Linked DNA regions of Callithrix jacchus. The protein of the gene in region 7 purifies or fractionates together with the protein of the main gene of each other region. This does not show direct contact. Links are inferred from orthologs where the notes say so. Each region holds a gene or a part of one and is shown on either strand. Other genes may lie near its edges. The genes, in order: EIF3G, EIF3A, MKNK1, EIF4B, EIF3I, PDCD4 and EIF4G1.

The links.
Region 1: the proteins of EIF4G1 (region 7) and EIF3G purify together in Homo sapiens (affinity purification with mass spectrometry; 3 studies listed by BioGRID, with this or other methods). This does not show direct contact. The link is inferred for Callithrix jacchus from reciprocal best matches to the Homo sapiens genes EIF4G1 and EIF3G.
Region 2: the proteins of EIF4G1 (region 7) and EIF3A purify together in Homo sapiens (affinity purification with western blotting; 4 studies listed by BioGRID, with this or other methods). This does not show direct contact. The link is inferred for Callithrix jacchus from reciprocal best matches to the Homo sapiens genes EIF4G1 and EIF3A.
Region 3: the proteins of EIF4G1 (region 7) and MKNK1 purify together in Homo sapiens (affinity purification with western blotting; 3 studies listed by BioGRID and IntAct, with this or other methods). This does not show direct contact. The link is inferred for Callithrix jacchus from reciprocal best matches to the Homo sapiens genes EIF4G1 and MKNK1.
Region 4: the proteins of EIF4G1 (region 7) and EIF4B fractionate together in Homo sapiens (co-fractionation; 4 studies listed by BioGRID, with this or other methods). This does not show direct contact. The link is inferred for Callithrix jacchus from reciprocal best matches to the Homo sapiens genes EIF4G1 and EIF4B.
Region 5: the proteins of EIF4G1 (region 7) and EIF3I purify together in Homo sapiens (affinity purification with mass spectrometry; 5 studies listed by BioGRID and IntAct, counting the BioPlex papers as one, with this or other methods). This does not show direct contact. The link is inferred for Callithrix jacchus from reciprocal best matches to the Homo sapiens genes EIF4G1 and EIF3I.
Region 6: the proteins of EIF4G1 (region 7) and PDCD4 purify together in Homo sapiens (affinity purification with western blotting; 3 studies listed by BioGRID and IntAct, with this or other methods). This does not show direct contact. The link is inferred for Callithrix jacchus from reciprocal best matches to the Homo sapiens genes EIF4G1 and PDCD4.

Annotation. Positions count from the first base shown.
Region 1 is NC_133523.1:9,307,731-9,311,772, reverse strand, and holds the start of EIF3G (eukaryotic translation initiation factor 3 subunit G), read left to right. Parts: upstream 1-1,242; 5' UTR 1,243-1,285; coding exon 1,286-1,305; intron 1,306-1,444; coding exon 1,445-1,491; intron 1,492-1,983; coding exon 1,984-2,067; intron 2,068-2,175; coding exon 2,176-2,264; intron 2,265-2,405; coding exon 2,406-2,465; intron 2,466-3,798; coding exon 3,799-3,903; intron 3,904-4,000; coding exon 4,001-4,042. UniProt on the Homo sapiens protein: RNA-binding component of the eukaryotic translation initiation factor 3 (eIF-3) complex, which is required for several steps in the initiation of protein synthesis.
Region 2 is NC_133513.1:112,012,420-112,015,919, reverse strand, and holds part of EIF3A (eukaryotic translation initiation factor 3 subunit A), read left to right. Parts: intron 1-425; coding exon 426-530; intron 531-646; exon of another isoform or gene 647-776; intron 777-919; coding exon 920-1,018; intron 1,019-1,662; exon of another isoform or gene 1,663-1,795; intron 1,796-2,099; coding exon 2,100-2,216; intron 2,217-2,402; coding exon 2,403-2,588; intron 2,589-3,500. UniProt on the Homo sapiens protein: RNA-binding component of the eukaryotic translation initiation factor 3 (eIF-3) complex, which is required for several steps in the initiation of protein synthesis.
Region 3 is NC_133508.1:83,334,235-83,338,420, reverse strand, and holds the start of MKNK1 (MAP kinase-interacting serine/threonine-protein kinase 1), read left to right. Parts: upstream 1-1,386; 5' UTR 1,387-1,532; coding exon 1,533-1,701; intron 1,702-2,051; coding exon 2,052-2,153; intron 2,154-4,186. UniProt on the Homo sapiens protein: May play a role in the response to environmental stress and cytokines. Appears to regulate translation by phosphorylating EIF4E, thus increasing the affinity of this protein for the 7-methylguanosine-containing mRNA cap.
Region 4 is NC_133510.1:66,554,510-66,558,495, forward strand, and holds the start of EIF4B (eukaryotic translation initiation factor 4B), read right to left. Parts: upstream 2,801-3,986; 5' UTR 2,778-2,800; coding exon of another isoform or gene 2,765-2,777; intron 495-2,764; 5' UTR 451-494; intron 1-450. UniProt on the Homo sapiens protein: Required for the binding of mRNA to ribosomes. Functions in close association with EIF4-F and EIF4-A. Binds near the 5'-terminal cap of mRNA in presence of EIF-4F and ATP.
Region 5 is NC_133508.1:68,837,374-68,840,873, reverse strand, and holds part of EIF3I (eukaryotic translation initiation factor 3 subunit I), read right to left. Parts: coding exon 3,396-3,500; intron 3,314-3,395; coding exon 3,186-3,313; intron 1,000-3,185; coding exon 889-999; intron 773-888; coding exon 683-772; intron 378-682; coding exon 304-377; intron 1-303. UniProt on the Homo sapiens protein: Component of the eukaryotic translation initiation factor 3 (eIF-3) complex, which is required for several steps in the initiation of protein synthesis.
Region 6 is NC_133513.1:103,813,910-103,817,927, forward strand, and holds the start of PDCD4 (programmed cell death protein 4), read left to right. Parts: upstream 1-1,218; 5' UTR 1,219-1,314; intron 1,315-2,440; 5' UTR 2,441-2,465; intron 2,466-4,018. UniProt on the Homo sapiens protein: Inhibits translation initiation and cap-dependent translation. May excert its function by hindering the interaction between EIF4A1 and EIF4G. Inhibits the helicase activity of EIF4A. Modulates the activation of JUN kinase.
Region 7 is NC_133516.1:13,306,283-13,309,782, forward strand, and holds part of EIF4G1 (eukaryotic translation initiation factor 4 gamma 1), read left to right. Parts: intron 1-454; coding exon 455-580; intron 581-731; coding exon 732-813; intron 814-3,500.

The DNA.
Region 1 (4,042 bases), on a different chromosome or scaffold from region 7:
GGTGGCTCACGCCTGTAATCCAAGCACTTTGGAGGCCAAGTTGGGCGGATCACCTGAGGTTGGGAGTTCACGACCAGCCTGACCAACATGGTGAAACCCCGTCTTGAAAAAAAAAAAAAAAAAAAGAATAAGATGTTGTCTGATAGAGCTGGCTTTGGAAGACCACAATATCTTAGTTTTTTTCCCCCTCGCTGAAAACCAGTTTTTGCTCCTGGGGAGTCATCATGAATCACTCCAGCTGAGGATGGTTGTTCTTAGAGCAAGGAGCTGAGCAATAAGCAAGTAAATGCACAAAATTATACCGGAAAGCCAAGAACACTACAACGAAAAGGAGGAGGAGTGGCTCATCGGGCCCCTTGACATCTGAATCTGTGGGATTGGGAAAGAAGGCAAGGAACAGTTTGCAGAAGGACTGTTTTCCCTGAGCCTCGGCTTTTTGTTTTTGTTTTTGTTTTTTCTTTCTTTTTCTTTTTTAGAGATGGTGGTGGGTGTGTGTCGGGGTGGTGGTGGTGGGGTTCTCACCCTGTTGCCCAGGCTAGCTACTCTCGAACTCCTGGCCTCAAGCAACCCCCATGCCTCAGTCTCAAAGTGCGGGGTTACAGGCGTGTGACACCTCACCCAGTCTCAGCCTCAGTTTCTTGAGCTGTAAAATTGCAATAATATCCTCCTCACCCTGCTTCATATACAATAAGCACTCGATCAGTGAACCTTGTTGTTATTATATCATTTTCTTTAACTTATTTTTCTGAGATGGAGTCTCACTCTGTAGCCCAGACTGGAATGCAGTGACGCGGTCTCGCCTCACTGCGGCCTCTGCCTCCCGGTTTAAGCGATTGTCCCGCCTCAGCCTCCGGAGTAGCTGGGACTACGAGTGCATGCTACCACACCCGGTTAATTTTTGTAGTTTTACTAGAAACGGGGTTTCACCATGTTGGCCAGGATGGTCTCGATCTCCTGACCTCGTGATCTGTCCGTCTCGGCCTCCCAAAGTGCTGGGATTACAGGCTTCAGCCACCGCGCCCGGCTTATTTTGGTTTTTAAAGGGTAGTAGGAGCAGCAGTGAAATCAGCCTCTACGCCCCCACCGCCCTTCCGCGCTCCCTGCTCTGGTACCAGCAGCTCCCAGCAGCATACACAGCCGCGTGCGCCTCCACCTCCGTCCGCAGGTGTCGCTGTGGATGCCGCGGCCGGCCCCACTAGGCGGTGTCCGCGGAACCGGAAGTCTCCTTTTACACCCACTTCCGCTCTCTAGCCCGGGCTTGGGCTGCGTGGAGAGCCCTTTTGCGATGCCTACTGGAGATTTTGAGTGAGTTGGGGATCACGGAAGCGGGTACGGGAGGCGGTTACAGGGCTCTGGGAAGTATTATGGGGCCTGGGTGCGCCGAGGCCGCGGGGGCTTGGCCTGGCTGACTTAATCTTAGCTCCCCACACACTTGTTTCCGCAGTTCGAAGCCCAGCTGGGCCGACCAGGTGGAAGAGGAGGGAGAGGACGGTAAGTGAATCCGTTTGCCCCAGGTCATCGCGGCCAGGCCCGAGCCGGTTCACTGCTGCCTGTTTCCATCTCCCAGACTGGCACCGTGTTCGCCGTCACGGCCAGCCCCTGCCCCGCGCCTTCATCCTTGGGGCTCGCCTGTTGCCAACTCCAGATGTTCCTTGGCAGGTCCCTCTTCCTCCCATGCCATTGCGCTAGCCCTCCCAGCTGTTCCCTTACTCCAGGGAGACAATTGTAATCTCCTGTCTCCTGTTTCTCTCTGGCGCCTGGATGGCTTCATGGCGTGGCCCCCACCTTCCTACGAGGGATTCCCCCATCCTGGCCACTCCGCGTCCCCACAGGGCCATCCCAGTGTACTACCTGGCCAGTCCTCTGCCCTTGGCCTGCCTTTCTCAGCTTTTGCTGTAGGCGTCATCCCAAAGGCCCTTCCATCTCAGCTGGGGAGCTCCTGCCCCTGGAGCTGACCCCTTCTCCCCACGCTGCTTCTCGCAGACAAATGTGTCACCAGCGAGCTCCTCAAAGGGATCCCTCTGGCCACCGGCGACACCAGCCCAGAGCCGGAGCTGCTGCCGGGAGGTGAGTGAGGACTGCCACTCCGTTCCGGGCTGCCTCTCCCTCCAGCCGTGCCGCTCCTGATGCCCGTGACCCAGGGCTCAGTTTCTTGCTCTTTTTCCCCTTCTCCAGCTCCACTGCCGCCTCCCAAGGAGGTCATCAACGGAAACATAAAGACAGTGACGGAGTACAAGATAGATGAGGATGGCAAGAAGTTCAAGGTGAGGGTGGGAGGGGGCAAGGAGTGAGGACCCTTTTCCTTGGGGACCCTGAGACCAGAAGAGGTTGGGGTGTGTTGAGTGGGTTGATAAAGGAGCTCCTTTGGTTCCAGGAGCCTGACCCTTCTCCTCTCCCATCCTCAGATTGTCCGCACCTTCAGGATTGAGACCCGGAAGGCTTCAAAGGCTGTCGCAAGGAGGAAGGTGAGATCCTCCTTCCCCAGGGATAACACAGAGGAATTGGAAAACTGTGTTCCCTGGACCTTTGTTTTTAAGAGATGGGACTTAACTCTGTACCTGTTGTGAGTCTGAACTGAGCCTTGGGTTCTTGTATTCTTATGGGGTCTTGAAAAGTTCAGGGCACAGGAGTTGATGATGATGCACAGTAAAAATGTTCAATGATGGGCAGGGGTGCAGTGAAAGTAGCCATGTGTGGTGGTGTGCACCTATAATCCCAGCTACGGGGCAGGCTAAGGCAGAAGAATTGCTTGAATCTGGGAGACGGAGGTTGCAGTTAGCTGAGGTTGCACCATTGCACTCCAGCCTGGGTGACAGAGTGAGACTGCATCTCACCAAAAAAAAAAAAAAAGTTTGATGATAAATATCGAATGATAGTAATATCAAATAAATTAGATTAAAAATATTGTAAGTTAGATTCTTTTATTTTTTTTTTAAAGACACAGGGTCCAGTCCTGTTGCCCAGTCTTGAGGGCAGTGGCACAGTCAGAGCTTACTGCAGCCTTACACTCCCAGGTTCAAGCCATCCTCCCACCTCACCCTGCTGAGTAGCTGGGGTTACAGGTGTGCACCGCCACACCGGGCTAATTTTAAGTTTTTGTAGAGGTAAGGTTTCTCTATGTTGATCAGGCTGGTCTCCAGTTCCTGGGCTCAAGAGCTTCCACCTTCACCTCGCAAAGTGCTGGGATTACAGGAGGGAGCCCCTGCGACCAGCTGTGGTTAGATTTTTTATTCCTCTTAGCCTGTCAATGGAGGAATGGAGCCAGAAGGTGGTCACAGCAGTTTCTGGAAGAAGTGATATCAATTAATACACTTGGGACAGTTTGCTGTGCGCTTAGTTTGTACCATACCTCATGCCAGCCACCTGGCAGGGTGTTTCTCATTTGATGTCCTTAGAAGCCCAGGGAGGTAGGAAGCTTTTGTGGTTCCTGTTTTACAAGGGAGGAAGCCAAGGCTCAGGCTGGGTAGCTCAAAGGCCTGGAGGTCTGGGTGGAGCCCCTTCACATCCCTGAATATTGAACCCTAGTGGGAGCTTGTCCGCCAACATGAACAGGCCCCAGGCTGTGTAGCTCTCACCTGGGGCCCAATGCTGACAGCTGCCCTGCCTCCTGGAGCTCAGGCCTGGCGGGGACTCAGGCAATAGGAACTGTCAACAGAACTGTTCAGGGAGTGGTTGAGGAGGATGAAAATGAGGTTCAAGGCCCAGACACTCCGGGGAAGGCTGTAGGTCCGGGACACCCCACTGTGGAACCCTGCCTGCCCCTGCCCTCAATTGTCCCCCATTCCTCCCTGAGCCCAGAACTGGAAGAAGTTTGGAAACTCAGAGTTTGACCCCCCAGGGCCCAATGTGGCCACCACCACTGTCAGTGACGATGTCTCTATGACGTTCATCACCAGCAAGGAGGTAAGCAGGGCAACCAGACTGGGCTGGGGTCCTGGGGTGGTGGCAAATGGGGTGCCTCAGCCACCTCTTTGAATTCCCCCAAACCTGCCCCTGCCAGGACCTGAACTGCCAGGAGGAGGAGGACCCCATGAACAAACTC
Region 2 (3,500 bases), on a different chromosome or scaffold from region 7:
GTGCAGCCATGATAATTTTTGTGTGACAATTTATATAAAAGTAAAACTCTGTGAATCTAAAGCCTGAGCTGAAAGTGAAAAAAACAAAAAAACAAAAAAACTAAAACTCTGGTATTTTCCTTGTTATTGGTAATAAGCTATTCTGTTGCCCACAGTTTAATTGGTTGTGGTTGTGTGTTTTAGAGTTTCATTTCCTTTTTACATACTTCTCACTGTAGGTTAGTGTCATAGTGTGGGGCAAGAGACCTAGCAGAGTTGTACTTGGATTCATCTTTGGTAAATTTAGAGGAGGTTGAGGCTTGGTGATTTTTTAAAATCATTTTTCAGATTTCTAGTGCTATCATTTTCTTTAATTCATAGTCAGATCGGAATCTTAGTTGGAAAATTTCCTTTGGCAGTTACAGCTTTTGCTCTGCTTACTCTAGGTCAGATTTAATGTACTGCAATATGTTGTCCCAGAAGTGAAAGACCTTTACAATTGGCTTGAAGTGGAATTTAACCCACTAAAACTCTGTGAGCGAGTCACAAAGGTAAGCCTTTGGATTTAAGTTCTTTCTGATTGTTACCATGGAGTTGGCCTTATTGCAATTTTGGGTTGTACTGATATTTGTTAAGAAAGAAGTATTGTCTTATGTGTTAGAGTTCAGCGCACATTTCATTGTCTTTTTTCTTTTATTTCAAAAGAAAAGGTATTTCCAATGTACTAAACAAACCTTTGGAGGTTAATTAGCAGTATGACTAATTTAGTCATTGCTGTCAGTCACCTTCAAACAAGTATCAGTAGCTTCATGATACCTTTTGTATTTCTCTGCATTGGATGATGTTTTTGTATCTTAAAAAAAACTGAAAGAATTTCAGATGTTTTGGATCTGTTAATTGTAGAAAGTATGATTCTCTTTCAATTTAATGGCTTTTATAGGTTCTAAATTGGGTTAGGGAACAACCTGAAAAGGAACCGGAATTGCAACAGTATGTGCCGCAACTGCAGAGCAACACCATCCTCCGCCTTCTGCAGCAGGTACAAATTAAAAAAGGTTTTGTGGAAGAATTGGAGTTTCCTTGTTTGTGTGTACTGATCATGAAACGAAAAACTGGAAAAATCTAGAACTGTTTAGGAAGTGAGAACCTCCCCAGGTTCTACCCTTGACAACAGTTAGTCTCATACTACTTACTAACTTGAAAAACAGGATAATTGTATTTACACATTTTGTAACTGACTTTTTTTTTTTTTGGATGAACATTGTTTTGGGCATCTTTCCTTGTTGGTAATGTAGGACTACCTTATTCCTTTTAAGATAATGTGGTTTATTTATTCTGACTCTCTTGATGAAAACCTGTATTACTAGATTCTTTTTTCTTGTTAAAAATCTTGTAGCATTGAGCATCTTTCATACATGTATCTTTACATACTTCTGTTACTTTCTGTGGCATAAGAAGTGGAATTAGTTGTAGGGGTTATGCATTTAAAGCTTTAATAGCTGTTCAGAACCCTGGATTAATAGATCCTCCCACCATGAGTGAATGAGAGAGCCTTTTCATGTATTTTAGTCCAGGGGCTTGAGTAAGTTTTAATGTTTTGGCTTATAATGGGGGCTTAAGTGTTCCCATTTTGTTTTTCATTTGGGAAGGAAGGCCTTTTATTATATTTTTACCTCAGTGTTTGTGCACATTTCATTGACCTGCTTTCTTTTGTACATGTGAGCAGTGTTATTTCTTCTGTGCTATACAAATAGTTGAAGGCTAATTAGCAGTATTAACTATAAATAGTAATGCTGCCAGTCTCCTTCAGACAAAAATTATTTTAAGAAGTGTTTATAAATATATTCGGTAAGTAGTAGATTTTTAGTTTTTTTTTTTTTTTTAATATAATGAAAACTAGGATTTGAAAGGATTATAGGTTTGAGGAGTAGTATGATAATAGTTCTCAAAGCATGAGGTTTGGAGTTGATAGTCTGGGGATTAGAATTCTGGCTTTAACAATGTACTGCTAACATAATTCACTGGCGTAAGTTCTACTTCCCATGACTGTCATGAGATTGCACATAAAAGGTGCTGAATAAATAGTGGTTAGTGTTATTAACGCTATGTTTTCTATGCAGGTGGCACAGATTTATCAGAGCATTGAGTTTTCTCGTTTGACTTCTCTGGTTCCTTTTGTTGATGCTTTCCAACTGGAACGGGCCATAGTAGATGCAGCCAGGCATTGCGACTTGCAGGTAGGTATGTTCTGTAAGGGGACAGGTAGAAGGCCCTTAAGGGCTAGAAAGACACGTATCCTTTGTTTCTCATTTTAAAGTTTACTGAGTGAACTTTTCTAGCTTTTGTATGTGACTTTTTTTGTTGTTTTTTTTTGACTGCATGCTTACATATGGATTTAACCATTTATAATTTAATTTTCAAAGGTTCGTATTGATCACACTTCTCGGACTCTGAGTTTTGGATCTGATTTGAATTATGCTACTCGAGAAGATGCTCCGATTGGTCCTCATTTGCAAAGCATGCCTTCAGAGCAGATAAGAAACCAGCTGACAGCCATGTCCTCAGTACTTGCAAAAGCACTTGAAGTCATTAAGCCAGCTCATATACTGGTATGCATCTTCTAGGGGAAATAAATCTCAGAAGTTTTGAGAGAGTCTTATGCCATGTCTTTCACAAAAAGGTTTGAGATGATATCTAAGAGAAGGGATTTATGATATATTTTCTATAGATTGTACTTGGTAGAATTCTGTAGAAGTAGAATTCTATAGAATTGTTACTTTATCAAATACACAAACCATTGAGCTTTCTTCCACTAAACAAAATAATATTACTCTGTATAGGTAATGTAATAGTGTGGATTATGTTACAGAAGCAACCAGAGTGGACATATGATTCCTCAAAGAGTGAGGTACAATGACCAGATTTTTCCCTCCTGCTTCTTTCTTTCTTTCCTTCTGTATTTATTTATTTATTTGTTTGAGATGGAGTCTCTTGTCACCTAGTTTGGAGTGTAGTGGCACCATCTTGTCTCGCTACAGTCTCTACCTCTTGGGTTCAAGTGATTCTTGTGCCTCAGTCTCTTCTGTAGCTGGGACTACAGGCATGCACCGTATGCCCTGCTAATGTTTTATATTTTTGGTAGAGATGGGATTTTACCATGTTGGCCAGGCTGGTCTGAAACTCCTGGCCTCAAATGATTCAACCCACCTTGGCCTCCTGAAGTGCTGGGGTTACAGGCGTGAGCCACTGCCTGTAACAAGTTATTTCTTCTTTGTGAGCTCTGTTAATGAACACCTAAGGTAAGTTTGGTGCAGAGAAAAGTTGTCTTAGCTAGGAGAGCTTCTTTAGCCGCATCATTGCTATTTAAAGACTGAATAGGAGCAACACGATAGCATTTGATACTGAAAACAAATGTTTATCTTGGATAGTGTCATCTTCCCAATATCAAATGCAGATACATAGAAAGGCAGTGCATCAGGATTATTTTGTAATTTCTTTGATGCCTACTACCAGAGAATATT
Region 3 (4,186 bases), on a different chromosome or scaffold from region 7:
CTCCCTGAGCTCCTGAAGATGAGTGACCTGTGTTTTATTTCTGTTGAATTTTTTATTATATTATACATTTGGGAAGCTTTTTTCCTTTAATTTACCTTGACAAGGGTGGGTGTTGAGGTGCTTATTTGTTTTTGTTGTTTGCTTTTTTGAGACAGAATCTTGCTCTGTCACCCAGGCTGGAGTGCAATGGCACGATCTTGGCTCACTGCAACCTCCACCTCCCAGGTTCAAGCAGTTCTCCTGCCTCAGCCTCCCGAGTAGCTGGAACTACAGGCACCCGCCACCACGCCCGGCTAATTTTTGTATTTTTAGTAGAGACAGGTTTTACCATATTGGCCAGGCTGGTCTTGAACTTCTGACCTCAAGTGATCTTCCTGCCTTGGCCTCCTAAAGTGCTGGGATTACAGACGTGAGCCACCATACCCAGCCAGATATTCTTTGGATTCATAAGTTGTTGCAGTCCCCAGATATATCTTGTGTTTGATGCTGTTGGCTAGAGTTATATTTTAAGATCCTCTGTGGATTTCTTTTATCCGTGAGTTTATCTGTTCTCCATTCTAAACTATAATTAAAAATGTGCTACCATCAGATCCCCAAAGTGGATGGAAGAACGCACCTAAATTGAGCTGTCAGATACTTGGCTGCATAACCGTGCTTTCTGGATTGTGGTATTGAAGTGCCATCCTGTGTGCTTTCTCCTGATGGCTGTCATGTACTTGCCTCTGAGAACGGTGTATAGACCTGCATGGGCACTAATCAATCTTCCTAGCAGACTTGCTGTTTCTCTGATCGTATGCAGCCAGATCCTCTGAGAAGAGAGTGGGCCTTTCCCCTCAATGGGCAAAGAGCCAGCTTCCATTTTAAAAGCTCAGAAAAAAAAAAAAGAAAGAAAAATACCAACCACCCAGAGCCTGTTTATTGAAGGTTGGTCTAAAAGTCTCTCACGCCGTGTGCCCCATCAGCACTCGAGTGCCTCTATTTTAGAAGGATGTAAAGGTTTAATCACCCTGGTGGGGATTTAGACCCAGAGACTTGAGAGAAATCTTATTATTTCTAACTGCAGGCAAAGAGTATTAAGGCTCCACTCTGGATCAGGGGCATGACATGTTCTATAAGTAATTTATCTTTAACAGGGAAAGGCGCATACTAGAGTGTCTTAGAAACAGGGCTGTCATTGGGCACTGGTTCACTGTTCCTGCTTTTCTCTTTCCCATCTCAGTGTCCTGCTTATTCTTTTCATCCGACCCTTTTTTGCCCAATCTGTGCAGTATCTCAATGCCTGCCCTACAAATGCTCCCTTTAAGATGGGGAGCCAGGTGCTTGCCAATGGAGATAATAAGGTTTTTGCAATAAGTGACCTCATCCAGCAGCCTGGTGCAGACCTGTCAACTGCAGACTCCCGAATGGGTCCTACCTGCAGCCCTTCTGATGGAGGAGCTGTGGGAGGAGAGGATGCCATAGGCTCCATGGGCACTCAGGTCCGTGCTCTTGGACAGTAATTTGGGGCCATTTTGAACCGCAGCCCCAGCCCTATGGCTACCTTCACAGAGGCCATTTCCATTCCAGGCCTTTTGTGCCCTGTGCACATCCATAGCAATGTTGCTGAGCCTATGACTCGTCTGGATGGCCCACTCCCAACCTCCTTCTTGCCTAGCTCCCTCGGTTTTGCCTTTCTGATCCTGAGGCTGGAGGATGTCACAGGTGGGGTTCTGCCTATGGAGTCATTGTTCTGTTTGGGGAATATAGTTTGACCGGTGGCAGATCTAAATCCATGTGCTAATGAGCTTGGTTACAGCAGGCTTCTGCTGCTGTCTTTTAATCTAGCCTGCCTGTCTGAGCTCCTTTCCACAGTTAATGATCTCCCATAATGGTTTTCCCTTTAGTTTTTCCTCCTAGGTCAAAACAAATCAATAGTCTTCACAGATATTTAAAAACCATCAGTATAAAGCTCCTGGGTCCTCCCCCTACTACCTTTTTTTTTTTCCTTCTGGGTAAATTTACAGCTTGATCAGTACAGTGGTGTTTCCCTTACATCTCCTCTTATCTCCCAGAGATGGGCAGCAGTGAACCCCTTCCCATCGAAGATGGTGACAGGAGGAGGAAGAAGAAGCGGAGGGCCCGGGCCGCTGACTCCTTGCCAGGAAAGTTCGAAGGTTGGTCACACAAATCCCCTACATCTGAGCCTGCAGCTTCCCAAGTATAGGAGGAGCATCCTGGGGGCCACAGGTCCAGATCATAGGATGCATCAAGTTAGAGCCAGCTGGTGGTTATCTGTGTGGTAGGGAGATAAGATGGGGATGAGGGAATTTACACAGGACGTTACAGAAAGAGAGTGAGGATGGAAAAAGCTCAGATGACGCACTGGCTGCCTGTGAATGGCTCAGGTACCTTGTCAGGAAGCAGGAAGACCCATCTATCACTGTTATTGCCTGGGGTCTCCCACCCTTTTTTCAGATGTGATTCTTCCCTCAGCTATTCCTGGAGAGGCTGCTGAGAGATAGAACATATAAGAGGAAGAGAGACACACCAAAGGCCATGGCTGCAAATGAAACTTCAGTCTCCTACAAGCAGAGAATTTGTCACTCAGATTACACCTGCTTATGCTGTATGCATTTGACTACATTTTTTATTATTAATTTTTAAAATTTTTTTTTATTTTTTGAGACAGAGTCTCACTCTGTTGCCTAGGCTGGGTTGCACTGGCGTGATCTCGGCTCACTGCAACCTCCACCTCCCAGGTTCAAGCAATTCTCCTGCCTCAGCCTCCCCAATAGCTGGGATTACAAGTATGTCCCACCATGCCCGGCTTTTTTTTATATTTTTAGTAGAGTTGGGGTTTCGCCATGTTGGCCAGGCTGGACTCAAACTCCTCACCTTAAGTGATCCACCCACCTCAGCCTCCCAAAGTGCCGGGATTGCAGGCGTGAGCCATAGCGTCTGGCTTTGTGTTTGACTACATTTTAAAGAGTAATGAGTTTAAAGACTACATTTTAAAGAGTTCAGTAGACACATGTTGGGTCATCAGACTCTATGTGCAAGGCACTAGGCTCAGTGCAGGTCCTGTGGGCATGTGATGGGGTAAAACAAATCATTGGACACTTGTGCAAAGCACCAAAAGGATCAGTAGCTATTCCTAGGAGTAACATACCCCCCTTCATCTGTTTTGGTTTTTTTCATTGTGAGGTCTGAAGTAGCTTCCCTCCTGATCCCTCCTTCCAGGCTTCCAGACACACTAGTAAATTGGCTGCTGTATAGAGTGGCTCCAATAGCAAACACTTTATGTGTCAGGAATACTGGACCCCAGCCACCTACCTATCCTGATATGTGTAAAGGGCTAATGCCAATGTGTCCATTGTGAGAAGCGTGACATTTAAAATACTTACAAATAACAGTGTACCATCTGTTCTTACAAACAACCAAGACCAAACCATGTTGTAACAAAGAAGGTACTTTCAGCAGGGTTTGTAAAATTTGCCTTTAACTCAAACAATAGGGGGGTTGTGTGGGGTGGGGGGGAATGGGGGACAGACAAAGATCCCAAGGGTTTTAGAATAGTTTCCTAATCAACAGCTCTTTTGCTCTTTCAATTAACACAAGAGAGTGCTTCCTGTTTTTTAAGGACAGCTTGGCCAATGACAGGACTTCTCCTGACTGAGAATGATAAAATCTAATTCATGGTTGAAACATCTTCTGCTGAGGTTGTGGGTTTCAGTGGTAGGTGCCTCAAGAGGCTGAAGAATGGAGTGGGGATGAGGTCAGGCAGCTAGTGCTGTGATGGAGATGTGGCTTGCTTTGGAAGGGGCTCAAAGAGCTGTGCTATTTGTGAGCTTGGGCAGGTCACCTAGATGTTCCTTTAACCCAGGTCTATTACTCTGTTAGAACCACTATGATTCAGTACCCTAAAAACCTCAAGGCATCCTTTGCATCCTACTTCTGTCTCTTATTTCCTGTGGGTGACTTCTGGAGACTTCTCAGAAGCCTCCAATGACTTCCATTGTGTGGGGTATAAAATAGAACAGCGTTTTCTCTCCTTTGTATCGCCAGTGCTTACACAGAGCTTGGCACATAATAGGTGGTCAGTAAATGAGTAAATGAATATTCATTCAAATCATATCCTTTCTCTGAGGATCCTCCAGATTCTCTGAACAGATTAAACCCTTTTTTTCCCCCCACTTTTTTTTTTTTT
Region 4 (3,986 bases), on a different chromosome or scaffold from region 7:
CAAAGTGCTATCTTGGCCTCTCAAAGTGCTAGGATTATAGGAATGAGCCACCGTACCTGGCCATTATGTTTTCCTTTTTTGAGACGGAGTCTTGCTCTGTGACCTAGGTTGGAGTGCAGTGGCGCGATCTTGGCTCACTGCAACTTCCAACTCCCAGGTTCAAGTGATTCTCCTGCCTCAGCCTCCTGAGTAGCTGAGACTACAGGCACCCAGCACCACGCCCAGCTAATTTTTGTATTTTTAGTAGAGACAGGGTTTCACCACTGGTTGGCCAGCTGATCTCGGAACTCCTGACCTCAGCCTCCTGGGATTACAGGTGTAAGCCACAGCACCCAGCCTTTAATAATTCTTTTTAAGAAGGAAAAACAAGGAATTAAGTGTACTGGCTCAATGCAACAAGTTTCTATGAATTCAAACTATCCTCATTCTGTAGTCAGTTCTGACACCTACCTTAGTTCCTGAAGGTCAATGGGTCACAGTGGAAACTGGTATTGCTGCAAAGAATTTTTTGGTCTCATTTAACAGTTAAAGAGGGATATGAAGTTGTTTTATGTATTTTCACAGAGAATACACAAGATCCACTTCCCACATCAGGGAATACCGGTTACTTCACAAAGCTAATGTGATTGGAGAAGAGGAGAGGGGAAACAAATCTGATAAACCCCAGATTCCTCAAGAGCAGACTGAAAGATGTGACTTGTGCTTAGATACCAGTAATACCAGTACCAGCTAAAAAGATTCACTAAAATGAATTAAAGCAGATGAGGGTTTTCAAATACAAAAAGCAGACGTCTGTAATCCCATCTAGTCAGGAGGCAGGAGAATCCCTTGAACCCGGGAGGTAGAAGTGGCAGTGAACCGAGATCGAGTCACTGCAGTCCAGCCTGGGCGACAGAGTGAGACTGTCTAAAAAAAATTAAGAAAGAAAGAAAGAACACGAGGGTTTTCAAGGGGGTAAATATGGAAGAACAAGAGAATGGGACGTCACTGAGTAAATCCCTGTAATCAGTCTGAATTTCATTCAACTCAGTAAAAAGAAGGGCATGAATTGCTGTCATGTCGTCTTCTGCCTCTAAAGGCTCCACAAAAGTTAAGAAAACACAGATTTTCTTCACTAAATTACGATACTAAACTGTTAAGGTGGCAAATCCAGACCAAATAGGTACTTTATGCAAAGGTTAGTTTAAAATATATTTAGGACTTTACTAGCTCACTGGAGAAAAAATATGAACTTTTGTAAACTTCAGACACTTTCGGGCAGCGCCCAAAACTGAAGATGACACCTTGGTACTTCTAAGTTGCTAAGGAGTCTCAAAGGTTTTGACCTTGCTCTGCCAGCTGAGAGCAGTGTGGCCTTAAATAATGTTCCTCAGCTGGGAACCACCACCATCTCTCTACATTACCTCAAGATCAAAGGAGACAACATGCACAAAAGTGCTTGGTTAACTGTCAAGTGTTACACCAATGAAAGATGTTCAAATGCACCTCAATTTTCTCAACGTTTTCCAAAGCCAGCCATAACCCTTATCTCCTTTGTAATAGAGAAAATGAATTACTGGGTAAGAAATGAGCACCCAAAGATAGGTTCAAATAATGTTTTGAAGAATGCAAGGTCATGCCAGAGAAAACAAACTATATTCCCCAAACTAAAATCAATGCTACAAGATGTTAGGTCATCAATGCTCTTATAAGCCCATTAGAAATGTAACTAGGCTTGCATGGCACTGATATTCCCCTCCAAAGATGTCTAAAGAAGTAAGCAACTCCAGCCACTAGTAAGCATTATTTTAAAAGTACCTGCTGGTGGTTGTACAGTTATCAAAAAAAAAAAAAAAAAAAAAGGCTGAAATCTTGAAACCTACCACTGGAACTATCCAAATTCAACCAATATGGAAGCGCCAGAAGAAAACCTCATCTTGGCATATAGCTGCGCTGAGTAAAAATGCGTCCAACTGAGTAAGAGAAAAAAACCTAGAAAGAAATCTAGGTGCACACCCGTGCTTCTCCAACACGTGGGCGCACCATACTGGGTTCCCCACCCCCATCTAACTCCAATAGCACCAACCTCCAAGCCTAACAGACGTACCCTCGGAAAAGTACAGGCACGGGGCCACACCCTAGAAAGGGAAGAGCACAACCTAAAAGGACATAAGAAGAGCTCAACACCAGGGCGTAAAAGCTTCCTATCTGGGTTCTAGCGCACGCATAGAAGGCGCGCCCGTCTCCACTACCCTCGCATCTCCTACGGCGCACGCGCACCGCTGCCTTCCCCCGCCCCTCCACCGACTCGCACTGGCGTTCTAACTGCTGCCCCCCCCTTTTCCCCTGCCCCCGACTCCGGTCCGCTACGCCTCGCGCATCGTAGACGTAGTCTAATGTGCACTCGTCCGCGCACCAACCGCCTCCTTCCTTTCTCCACGCCTTCACGCGAGCACGGTGCTTCACGTCTATGAAAACGCCTCGCACCACCCGCACACCTTTCTGCGCCTTCTTCTTCAATTCAAGCCTGAGTCCACCATTACTGCCTATTCCAATCTCGCGCAGAAAGTGTGAAAAGAGTGTGAGGGGGAGGGGAAAGTGTCCTTCCCCTCCCCCCAAACATCCCGAAGCAGCAACCTAACATGGCCACGCCGCCAGCCTGCCGCAGCCCTCAAGTCGGGAAGGAACCGGTGCTGGCAGTTCCCCGACTCCAGGAAATAAGTGGATCAGGCTCGGAGGAGGGTTTCAGAGCCCAGTCCTTGGCCGCGCTCGGCTGCTCGCTCACCTGAGGCCGCCATGTTGGGAGAGGGAAAGAGAACGCAAAGGACCCGGATGAGGCAATCACGTGATTCTAGTGGGCGCGTCGGGCTAGGAGACTCTAAGCTGGGAGGGGGCGGGGAGGTGAGGACGGAGACAGGAGGCGGGGCGGCGCTGCTCTAGGTTCGTAAAGTTGCGCGGCGAGGTGGCACAGTGTCCAACGGGGAGACATGCGCGACATGTGGCCAAAGGGGTGGGTCCTGGGCTGTCGCGAAACCCCTCACGCTTTACGTAGGGCTACACGCGGACGCGGGCCCGGAGCTAAGCCCCTGCCGGCCTCGTGACGCGCAGACTTCCTGCCAGAGCAGGGGGTGGCAAGGGCGGGGCTTCGCTGCTGGTTCCGCTTACTCTGCTCTGAGACGCGTCTTGATGGATTCGGAATGGGTGTCCATAAGTGGATGTTAAGAAAGGGAAGATTCTGAGTTTAATGGTGTTTTTTTTTTTTTGAGACGGAGTTTCGCTTTTGTTGCCCAGGCTGCTGGAGTGCAATGGCGCGACCTCGGCTCACTGCAACCCCCGCCTCTCGGGTTCAAGAGATTCTCCTGCTTCAGCCTCCGGATCAGCTGGGATTACAGGCGCCCGCCACCATTACCCGCTAGTTTTTTGTATTTTTAGTAGAAGCGGTGTTTCACCATGTTGGCCAGGCTTGTCTCGACTCCTGACCTCAGACGATCCACCCGCCTCGCCCTCTCGAAGTGCTGGGATTACAGGCGTGAGCCACCACGCCCGGTCTAGTTTTTAAAGGCCACATCAGAAATTACTGAGTTGGTTTTATTTATTTTTATTTCTTGAGACGGGGTCTCGCCTTGTCGCCCAGGCTGGAGTGCAGTGGCGCAGTCTCCGCTCACCGCATCCTCAACCTCTGGCACTCAAGCAGTCCTTCTACCTCAGTCTCTTGAGTAGCTGCAATCAAGTATTTGTGTGGACACGGAGTGGGGCGGGGTGGGGGTCTCCCTATGTCGCCCAGACTGGTCTCGAACTCCTGGGCTCAAGTATTACCTCCCTCTGTGGCCTCCCACAGTGCCGGGATTACAGGCGGGAGCCCCCGGCCTGAGTTTGTTTTCAAATTACTTTTTGTAAAGGCAAAACAAATCTAACATCTGTAAGAATGGTTTTAATGAGACATGTTTAGACAGAATGACAAGGTAACAAATGGTGAACACTTAATTGCCATGGCTTTTACCTCCCTT
Region 5 (3,500 bases), on a different chromosome or scaffold from region 7:
AGGCCAAGGTAGGCGGATTACTTGAGGCCAGGAGTTCAAGACCAGCCTGGTCAATGTGGCAAAACCCTAGCTCTACTAAAAACACAAAAATTAGCCGGGCGTGGTGGTGGGCGAATGTAATCCCAGCTAGTCGGGAGGTTGAGGCAGGAGAATTGCTTGAACCCAGGAGGCGGAGGTTGCAGTGAGCAGAGATCACACCACTGTACTCCGGTCTGGGTGACAGTGTAACTCTGTCTCAAAAAAAAAAAAAAAAAAGGTACACTTCATGAGATTTCAATTTGGAAGAGCTCTCTTCCTCTTTACCTGGCCTCAAACTTGCCAATCCTGGTGGAGGTTGTGGTTACATCCATGGCTTCCTGACCACCGCCCAGGACCACCTGAAGGGAAGAAGAAACTCCAGATGGGCCCAATGGGCACCAAGTCCATTTTCTGTTTTTCTCCTGCCATATACATTTTTAACATCTCACACAGCTCAATGGGAGGATACCAAAGGTAGGGGATGATCAGACACCTCCACCACCTTCTGCTGCTTCCCTGGGGCTACTCAATCCTTCCAGCTTTGTCACTCCTCTCTGCCTGACATCATTTCCCCCAAAATGCTTGTAGCCTAACTTCTAGACAAACAGCTAGATCTTGGAAGCTTTCTGAGGCTTTAGCAGGAAGGCTGGTGGGGTTCTCTTACATGGTCATAGTTGGGGGAGAGGGCAGCTGAGTTGACAGGACGTTCTGTCCGGAAAGTCTTCTGATGTTCAAGAGTTGTGGAGTCAAAAAGCTGGAGAGAGAAGGCAGGGGGGAAATCTGTAAAGAACCTTCCTGAGGGAAGTCAGGCAGGGTGAGGTGTGTAGCAGGAGGGAGAGAGCAGCCTGACAGACCCCTGCCTAGGCTCACCTTGGCTGTGTTGTCCTTGGATGCAGTCACAAACATGGTCATGTCCCTGGATAACTGGATGTCGTTGATCTGCCGTGAGTGCTCCTTAACATTCACCAATACCTCTCCAGACTGGGGAAGGAGAAGAGTGAGACTGACTGGTCCCGATCCCTACTAATCTCAGTTCCCCAGAAACCTAATCATTCAAATTAGAACAGCATGGACTTTATGTTTTCCTCACCCCTCTATCTAATCAGTCACCCCTAAACATCCAGTGACTGTCCAGTACTGTACCTCCTATGCCTATTGGCTAGTTCAGGTCCATTTTCCAAACCATAACTGCAAAAGCTGTTGGAAGGAAATCTGACCTTTAGTAACCTCTAAAGATTCCCTACTGCCTGGAGGAAAATCAACTCTTTACCTCCTCACACTTAAGGCTGTGTAAAATCTATTCCCTGTCCTCCATCCCCAACACCACATCCCAAGGGTTCCTGAAGACTCCATACTTCCTTAACTCTGTGCCTTTCCTTTTGCTGTTCCCCTTGGCTGTGGGATGTCCCTTCCTTCCTGCTTGAAGGTCCATTTATTCTCCAAGGTTTAATGTACATGCCACCTCCCTGTGACAGTGCACCTTCAACACTTGGTTGAGACTTCAATGATGGCACAAATCACAATCTGACTCAGGTGCTAGCTGTTTGCAAGTCTGTCTCTCCCTGGGGCGGCAGGGACTGTGTCTGATTTACTTCTTTGTTCTAGGAGCCCAGCACAGGGCATTATACTCAGTCGTCACAGGAAAATGCTCATTGTGATCCTTATTAATTTAATTTATTTATTTTTGAGATGGAGTCTTACTCAGTTGCCCAGGCTGGAGTGCAGTAGTGCTATCTTGGCTCACTGCACCCTCTGCCTCACAGGTTCAATGAATTCTCCTGTCTCAGCCTCCCAAGTAGTTGGGATTACAGGCACCTGCCACCACGCCTAGCTATTTTTTTTGTATTTTTAGTAGAGATGGGGTTTCACCATGTTGGCCAGGCTGATCTTGAACTCCTGACCTCATGATCTGCCTGCTTCAGCCTCCCAAAGTGATGCGATTACAGGGGTGAGCCACTGTGCCTGGCCCCTTATTTATTTTCTTGAGACAGGTTCTTACTCTATCACCCAGGCTGAAGTACAGTGGCACAATCATGGCTCACTGCAGCCTCAATCTCCCAGACTCAAGCAATCTTTCAGCCTCAATTGAGTACCTGGGACCAGAGGTGTGCTCCACCAGGCCCAGCTAATTTTTAATTTTTTTTGTAGAAACAGGATCTTCCTATGTTGCCCAGGCTGATCTCCATCTCCTGGGCTCAAGCGATCCTCCTGCCCCGGCCTCCCAAAGTATTAGGATTACAGGTCCAAGTCACCATGTCTGGCCTGTGATCCTTATTATCATGTCCTGAGTACTTTGTGACAAATTTTTCAAACATGTGGTATCATTTGATCCTTGAACCATTTTACAGATAAGCAGGGTCAGAGAAGTTATGTAACTTGCCCAAGACCACACAGCTAGAAAATGGTGAAATCTATTTTTGATTCTCACCCTTGCTCTTTTTTAAATTTTTTATTTTTAAATTTTTTAAAGTTTTTATTTTTATTTATTTATTTTTTTGAGACGGAGTTTCGCTATTGTTACCCAGGCTGGAGTGCAGTGGCACGATCTCAGCTCACCACAACCTCCACCTTCTGGGTTCAAGCAATTCTCCTGCCTCAGCCTCCCGAGTAGCTGGGACTACAGGCGCGCACCACCATGCTCAGCTAATTTTTGTATTTTTAGTAGAGATGGGTTCCACCTTGTTGACCAGGATGGTCTCGATCTCTTGACCTCGTGATCCACCCACCTCAGCCTCCCAAAGTGCTGGGATTATAGGCGTGAGCCACTGCACCTGGCCTAAAATTTTTTATTAAGCTTTTTCTTTTTAGAGACAGGGTCTCACTGACACCCAGGCTGGAGTGCAGTGGTGTGATCATAGCTCACTGCAGCCCCAACTCCTGGACTCAAGAGATCCTCCTGCCTTGGACTCCAAAGGCACTGGGATTACAGGTGTGAGCCACAGCACCCAGCCCCACCCTCGCCCTGAACTACTGTGCTATCCTGCCTCTTATAAAGAACCATTCTGGGGCTGGGCGCGGTGGCTCATGCCTGTAATCCTAGCACTCTGGGAGGCCGAGGTGGGTGGATCACCTGAGGTCAGCCCCATCTTAATATTAAAAAAAAATATATATATATATATATATAAAAGAACCATTCTGGTAGGCACAGGCCCCCTGTGGCCCCTTACCTTGGCACTGTACTGGTTGAGCTCTCCACTCTCATGGCCAGCGATGATGCACTCTCCCAGGGGTCCCCAAACGGCACTGGTGATTTTAGAGTCATTGCAAGGGATCTTCATGTAGGGCTCATTGTTGTCTGTGTGAGGCAGTAGCTGTTAGGCCCTGGGCTCTAGAGCTGAACCCTTCACTTCAACCCCAGCCCTAGTCCCAGCCCTCACCAATCTGGCTCGGATCCCGAAGGTCAAAGAAGCTCACAAAGCACTGGTAGCCCATCTGCTTGTCCGTGGAGAACATGATGATGTTGCCGCCAAAGTCAAAACCGC
Region 6 (4,018 bases), on a different chromosome or scaffold from region 7:
TTGCACTCCAGCCTGGGTAACAAGCGCGAAACTCCGTCTCAAAACAAACAAACAAACAAAACTAGCAGCGGGTGGGGAAGCATGTAGGGAGATGTGGAGACACAGCCTGAAAGTCTTAAAGTCACATAGTGGAGCCTTGAATGACCGACCCGGGTGCTGACACTCAAGAGAGGCAATGGGAAGACAATGAAGGTTTATTGTTTTGTTTTGTTTTGTGCAGAGAAATAGTAGCATTAGAGATGATTCCCAGGCAGGGTGACTGGGTAGCCAGGGTAAGGCGTGGCTTGTGCGGAATTAAGACAGTTGGGTTCTGGAGAGACCAAGCAATCATTCATGTGTGACCCATCAAACAACTGGAAAATCTGATCAGAGGTAAGTGGTTAAGTCCCCTCCTGGGAGCAGAGGGAGCACAAGGTTCTGGTTATTACCTCAGGGGACAGCGACCGAGAAAGAATACGGAAAGGACCAGCCAAAACGAACGCAGCCAAGACGAAAGGTCACAGAGAACAGCCAGGGGACCTGGGAATTTCAATACAGAGATTGTAGCCATGGCCCAGAACCCCAGCACGGGAGTCCAGAATGTGTGCGTTTGAACACCAGAGGCTTGGCTAGTCATGATTAGCAAAGCGACTTCAAAGAGTTTTTGAGCCTGTCTTATATCTGTAAAATGGGAATGATTTCTATCTCAAAGGGTTGAGGGGATTCGCTGAGAGTAACTTCTTAGTTATGGGATCTGCAGAAACTCTCCCTGGAGAGAGCAGGGGCCAGAGGGAGAAGGAATCCGACAGGCTGAACACTTGGGAGTGTCTAGAAATGGAGGCAGGGACCGTCAGGAAGCTGAAAATCTTTGCTTCAGCTGAGTTTGCAGCACGCCGTGCGAGGAGAATGGGTGCGCTGGGTCTGGGGAGCTTCTTTGTCCCCATTCCCCAGCACTGCCCGTGGGCCGACGCTCCCATCCCGCCACGCCTCCCAACGTACCCTCACCCGGGCTTCCCGCTCAGCTCCCGCTCCAGCCAGTCCCAGGAACCACAAGCGCATGCGCCCTCCCGCGCCCCTCCCCAACTTTCCACGTTTCATTCCTCTCCCTTTTCCTCCCCAGCTCCGGCTCCGCCGCTACGATTGGCCAACCGGCCACCGGGCCTCCGCCAATAAGCGCAGCCTTCTCGCCCCCGTGTTACTGGGTAGAAGAAAACAAAAACAAACAGAGCGAGAGGGGCCAGAGACTCTCCGAGGTGCAGAGGCGGCGGAGGCAGAGGAGCGGGATCGGGGCCGGCAGACCGGGGACCTGGGCGAGCAGCGGCGGGGGCCCGAGGGGTCAGTACCAGTGGGCGCGGCTCGCACGCTCGGGAAGATTGCTCCCTTTCCCTCATTCCCCCTCGGGGCAGCCGCACGATGGGAGGGGGCATGGGGGCCGCGGCCCTGTCAGGTCCTGGCCTGCGAGGCTGGGGTCCGGCTGCCTCCTCATAGCCCCACAGGTCCAGCCGCGCCCGCCCCAACGCTCCGGGACGCCGGCCCGGTTCCCTCCATCTGGGCCCAGCCCGGAGCGTGGCGACGCGGGCCCGCCCCCTCCCGGAGTCCTCTCCCCACTGAGAGGGGCGCGCGCCGGCGAGGGCCCCCCCCCAACCCTCCTCCCCCTCTGGCGGAGGTTGAATTCGGGGGTCAGGATTGGAAGGCGTGTTTCCGGTGAGACTGAAATCCTGTGAGGAAGGTTCGCATCCTCACCGCGCCCTCCTGAGAATCCCCTGAAGATGCATCCCCATGCCCGGCGTGCCCCGGAGACCCGGTCCCGGCCCAGCAGTTTCTGGGGGCCAGCCAGGGCTGGGGACTTCGGGGGTCCGGGCCTGAGCCCTCTGCAAGGGAGCGGGCTCGGCCGCTGCGGGGAAGGGCCACGCGCTCGCCTCGCCGGGGGGCTAGGAGGCGTACACGTGCCCGCCTCCCCTGCCCTGTGCGAACTTCGCCGCTCCAGCCCTCCGGCAAAGGGTCTCTTTTTTTTAGTTTAGGTAAAATAAAATCTCCCGGAGAAAACAAAGCCGGGAAGGGAGCCCCCTTTCTGTGAAACGCGTGCCATCTGCTGCATTTGTCAGTTTGGTGCTGTAACGTACATGGAGTTTTGCAAGAGCTTTAAAACTGTCTGCAGACGTCGATTTAGCCCACCTCCCCCTTGCTCTTGTGAGAACTTGCTACGTAGCCAGCAACTGTGTAGTGTCTACAAATGATAAAAACGATCAGAAATGCTGCTAGGTGTCGGGGAAAAGAGGGTTTCTCCTATTTTTTAACTTGCATTTTTACTGTTAATTTTTATAATTTTGATATTCTTTTTTTTCTGCCCCCCACCCACAATTTTGATATTCTTAACGTGGCTGTTTTTTTGGGAAACCACCAAGTGCTTTTTAAACAAGTAGTTATTGGTATTTATGTCCTTAATATTCCTTCATTACAGGTTTATTGAATACCTTAATAACTCAGTAAGTGCCTTTGAATTCTAATTGATTGGCTTTTTCCGTGATACTAATGTGAAAGGAAAAATAATTGTTAGGACTAAAAAAATAAATGCCACTTGAATATTTTCTGTAGTGCTCGTTTTTGCATTATTGTGGTACAAAGCTTTTAGCTGATTTTAAGCTGCTAATTAGCTGGCTGTAGCCGAAGAATGAATATAAGTAATTGTAGTTAATAAATGACTCCCCAAAATGCCAGAGCAATTTCTGAGGTATATTTCGGGAAATACATACAAATATACATACATACATATATATATATGTATATATACACATATACATGTATATATACACATATACACACACACATTTGCGGGGGAGTGGAGGGTCTTTTAGGGAAATGTCTTGGGAATTGAATAACACACTGGAGAAAAGAACAGTGTTTAATGTCAGCCTTCGTTTTCTTCTAACTTGTATGTATAGTTTTCTCATTGAAAATTCGTTTTTATAGGATGGTATGAAGGAAATAGGGTTTGGATTTTTTGCCATGTATTTTCCTGTTTGGGCCAATTGTGTTAACGGTTAAATTGGAAAAAAAAAGTCCTACTAGTTTTAAAGAGAGTAAAAACGTGGAACGTGTCTTATCTTTATCTGAACTCTTAAAATGTGTGTTGGCTGCTTTCAAATATGACTTGAGTTATCGATCGGGTTATCATTGCCTAAAAACACAGGACTTTTTTTTTTTTATTAAGATAACTTTATTAGGTAAGAGATGATACTCATTTCCTGACAGTTTTCTTTGTCTGATGGAATGCCTTCTGTATGATAGTTTAAAATAATTATTTTAAGTGTTTGGAAAACAGTATTTTAAAAAGTTTGATTTAACAGCAGAAGTCTGTTTTAATAAGCTTCTTTAAGAATCTTCCTATGGGATATTAAAATCTTGGATTGAACTTGTGCAGACAGTACTGGATTTGGAAGGTCTAGATTCTCATCCTGGCTCAAACTAAGCAGCTGTTTGTCCTTGGACATATTACCTACCCTCTCTGAATCTGTTTAGTTGTGTGTAAAGTGGAATACCTACCTGAAGATTGTTCTGTAAGGTACTAAATAATACATGTAAAATTCTTTTTGAATTGCAAGGGGCTTTTTAAACATCAGTTATATTCATTTCACTTATTAGGTTCTGCAGAAAATATTCTCTCAAAGGTTATACTTTCATCAAGAATGAAAAAGACTATAATAGAACTCTAAAAAACTCAAACACATCATATGACATTATTCCTTTCCTATAGGTAATTCATGCATGGAATTGAAACAGAATGTAGCCTTTTCAGCCATCAAGGATGCTAAATGTTTAAATCTGCAAACCATTTTTGTTCATGTATCTATATGAATCTCCATATACATATTTTTAAGATTTCTTTTCAAATCTAAAGTTGGTGAGAGTTATATTGAAAAGTGATTATAAAGAATCACATATATGAATATAATCTAGACAGAATTAGAGAATGGTCTCACCGTTTTCTTAAGTTCCCAAGCAATATGATAGCATGTTAGTCTGAGGATTATGCCATAGT
Region 7 (3,500 bases):
TGGCTCATGCCTGGAATCCCAGCACTTTGGGAGGCCAGGGTGGGTGGATCATTTGAGGTCAGGAGTTCGAGACCAGCCTGGCTAACACGGTGAAATCACGTCTCTACTAAAAATACCAAAAATTAGTTGGACATGGTGGCAGGTGCCTGTAGTCCCAGCTACTTGCGAGGCTGAGGTTGCAGTGAGTGAGATTGTGCCGTTGCACTCCAGTCTGGGTGACGAGCAAAACTGTCCAAAAAAAAAGAGTATAGGTTCCTGGTCATCCTAGCTTTGTGGGGTTAAGTGGGGTGAAAACCATCTAAGGACACAAAGGTGGCCTTAGCTTGAGATAACTGTCCCCACGTATAGAAAATGTTCCTGGGGTCTCCACAATTGATCACTTAGCCATGCCATGTTGCCCCAGAAGGAGAGTGGGGACCTGGCCTAGAATGCCCTGACTGAATTCCCTTTGCAGGCTGTATGAAATCCTGGAATTGGCTGAGGACATGGAAATTGACATCCCCCACGTGTGGCTCTACCTAGCGGAACTGGTAACACCCATTCTGCAGGAAGGTGGGGTGCCCATGGGGGAGCTGTTGAGGTAAGCCCCGTGGGTGGAATTTAGGGCAGGTAAAGATCAGAGGAAAGGTGGTGGGGAAGTGTGCTGGGTCGGACACCCTGGTCTGGAGGGAGGTGGGTGGTGGCGAGAGGACCATGGAGGCTGTCAACACTGGGCTTTTCTCTTCTTGTAGGGAGATCACAAAGCCTCTGAGACCACTGGGCAAAGCTGCTTCCCTGTTGCTGGAGATCCTGGGCATCTTGTGCAAAAGCATGGTGAGTGAGGGCCAGGAGCCCAGAGACGCCTCCCGCGGTGGGGTTTTGGCTGTTGGCTGTGGCCCTGAAGCGTCATGGTCCATTGGTGTAGTGGAGTGATGGTGATGGGAGAGGAAATACTGAGGTGGGCCGTCTCCCGCACGCCAGTGCCCGTCGTGAGTTCTGGCCAAGACCAGAGGAGAATGGCTGAGATCCTAGGCCCATGATGGATGTATTCATTCCTTCATTCATTCAGCTAGGGTTTTGATCATTTCTCGTATACTAAGCACTAGGGATACCACAGTGAACACAACACAAGAAACAAGTTGGTAGATAAAAAGGAAGAAACGACAGCACGATGAAAACAGTGTGAAGCAAAGTGTGAAATAAAATAGCTGAAGTAGAGTGGAGTATCTTAAATACTGTGAGGTTGCAAAGGAGTATTCGACAATATTCATGACAGGAGGCTTTCCTCAAAGGGTGTTGAAGCAGCTATGTAAAAGTTAATTGGTAACTAGCGACTGTAAAGGCGAAAGGCAGGTTGATTGTAGTACTTAGTGGTAGGGAGAAGTTGTGAGTGTGCAGTTTCAAGGGTTCAGCCATCTGGAACCTGGAGTAATCACACTTGAGATTTAAAGGAGTTGTTATGTTGGCCGGGTACAGTGGCTCAAGCCTGTAATCCCAGCACTTTGGGAGGCCGAGGCGGGTGGATCACGAGGTCAAGAGATCGAGACCATCCTGGTCAACATGGTGAAACCCCGTCTCTACTAAAAATACAAAAAATTAGCTGGGCACGGTGGCGCGTGCCTGTAATCCCAGCTACTCGGGAGGCTGAGGCAGGAGAATTGCCTGAACCCAGGAGGCGGAGGTTGCGGTGAGCCGAGATCGCGCCATTGCACTCCAGCCTGGGTAACGAGAGCGAAACTCCATCTCAAAAAAAAAAGAAATACACAAATAGTTCAATATGCTTATTTGTTTTTTTTTTTTTTTTTTTTTTTAAAAAAACTTGTCCTGGTACACATCTATCTAAAAGAATTAAATGATGTTGACATAACAACTCCTTTATTTATTTATTTTTTTTGAGACAGAGTTTCGCTCTTGTTACCCAGGCTGGAGTGCAATGGCGCGATCTCGGCTCACCGCAACCTCCGCCTCCTGGGTTCAGGCAATTCTCCTGCCTCAGCCTCCCGAGTAGCTGGGATTACAGGCACGCGCCACCGTGCCCAGCTAATTTTTTGTATTTTTAATAGAGACGGGGTTTCACCATGTTGACCAGGATGATCTCGATCTCTTGACCTCGTGATCCACCCGCCTCGACCTCCCAAAGTGCTGGTGATTACAGGCTTGAGCCACCGCGCCCGGCCTTATTTGTGTATTTTATCGACTCCAATGTGCCATAGATTATAAGTCATCCTTTATGCACTGTTAAGAAAGAAAAGACTGGGCCAGGTGCCATAATCCCAGCTCTTTGGGAGACCACGGTGGGTGGATCACCTGAGGTCAGGAGTTCAAGACCAGCCTGGCCAACATGATGAAACCCCATCTCTACTCAAAATACAAGACTAGCCAGGCATGGTGGCGTGGGCCTGTGATCCCAGTTACTCGGGATTGCACCACTGTACTCCAGTCTGGGCAACAGAGTGAGCCTCTGTCTCAAAGAAAAGACTTGCAGTCATATTTTTTAAAATGCAGGCCAGTGCAGTGGCTCACACCTGTAATCTCAACACTTTGGGAGGCTGAGGCTGAGGAGGATGGATCACCTGAAGTCAGGAGTTTAAGACCAGCGTGGCCAAGATGGTGAAACCCTGTCTACTAAAAATGCAAAATAGCTGGGTGTGGTGGTACGTGCCTGTAGTCCCAGCTACTTGGGAGGCTGAGGCAGGAGAATCACTTGAACTCTGAGGGGGAGGTTGCAGTGAGCCAAGATCAGGCGCTGCACTCCATCCTGTATGACAGAGCAAGACTCCATCTCAAAAAAAAAAGGTATATATTAGCTGTAAGACAACTTTTAGTTAAAACGTGAAAAAATGGGCATGTTTAAAATCTGAACTGCAGTGATCTTGCTAAGGGCCAGTGCCATCATTTTATCTGTTATAAAGAAAAGAGTGATGTCTTCATAGTCTCTTGCCCCTTACAGAAAACATGTTCAGACTGTTGGATTTATGAGGATTTTCTACCATGTTGGGATGGGGTGTATCTGTGTCTTAAGATTTTCTGGATTTGGGAAACAAGCATACTTGTTAGAAGTTGTCCTTTCCTAAAGGCCCTTAGGTCATTTTTCCTATCCTAGTGTCAGCACTGTGGTGGACTAGTCTTCATTTGTTTTGTTTATTTTTTATTTTTATTTTTTGAGACAGAGTCTCACTCTGCCCAGGCTGGAGTGCAGTGGCACGATCTCAGGTCACTGCAACTTCCCCCTCACAGAGTTCAAGTGATTCTCCTGTCTCAGCCTTCTGATTAGCTGGGACTACAGGTATTCACCACCATGGCCAGCTAATTTTTATATTTTTAGTAGAGACAGGGTTTCAACCATGTTGGCCAGGCTGGTCTCCCAACTCCTGACCTCAAGGCAGGTCACCTGCCTTGGCCTTCCAGAATGCTGGGATCACAGGTGTGAGCCACCATGCCCGGCCAACAAGTTATTATTTGGGTGGTTATGTGACTGATGCCTGCCCTGCACTAGACTGTAGGAATGGAAGGGCTGTGCC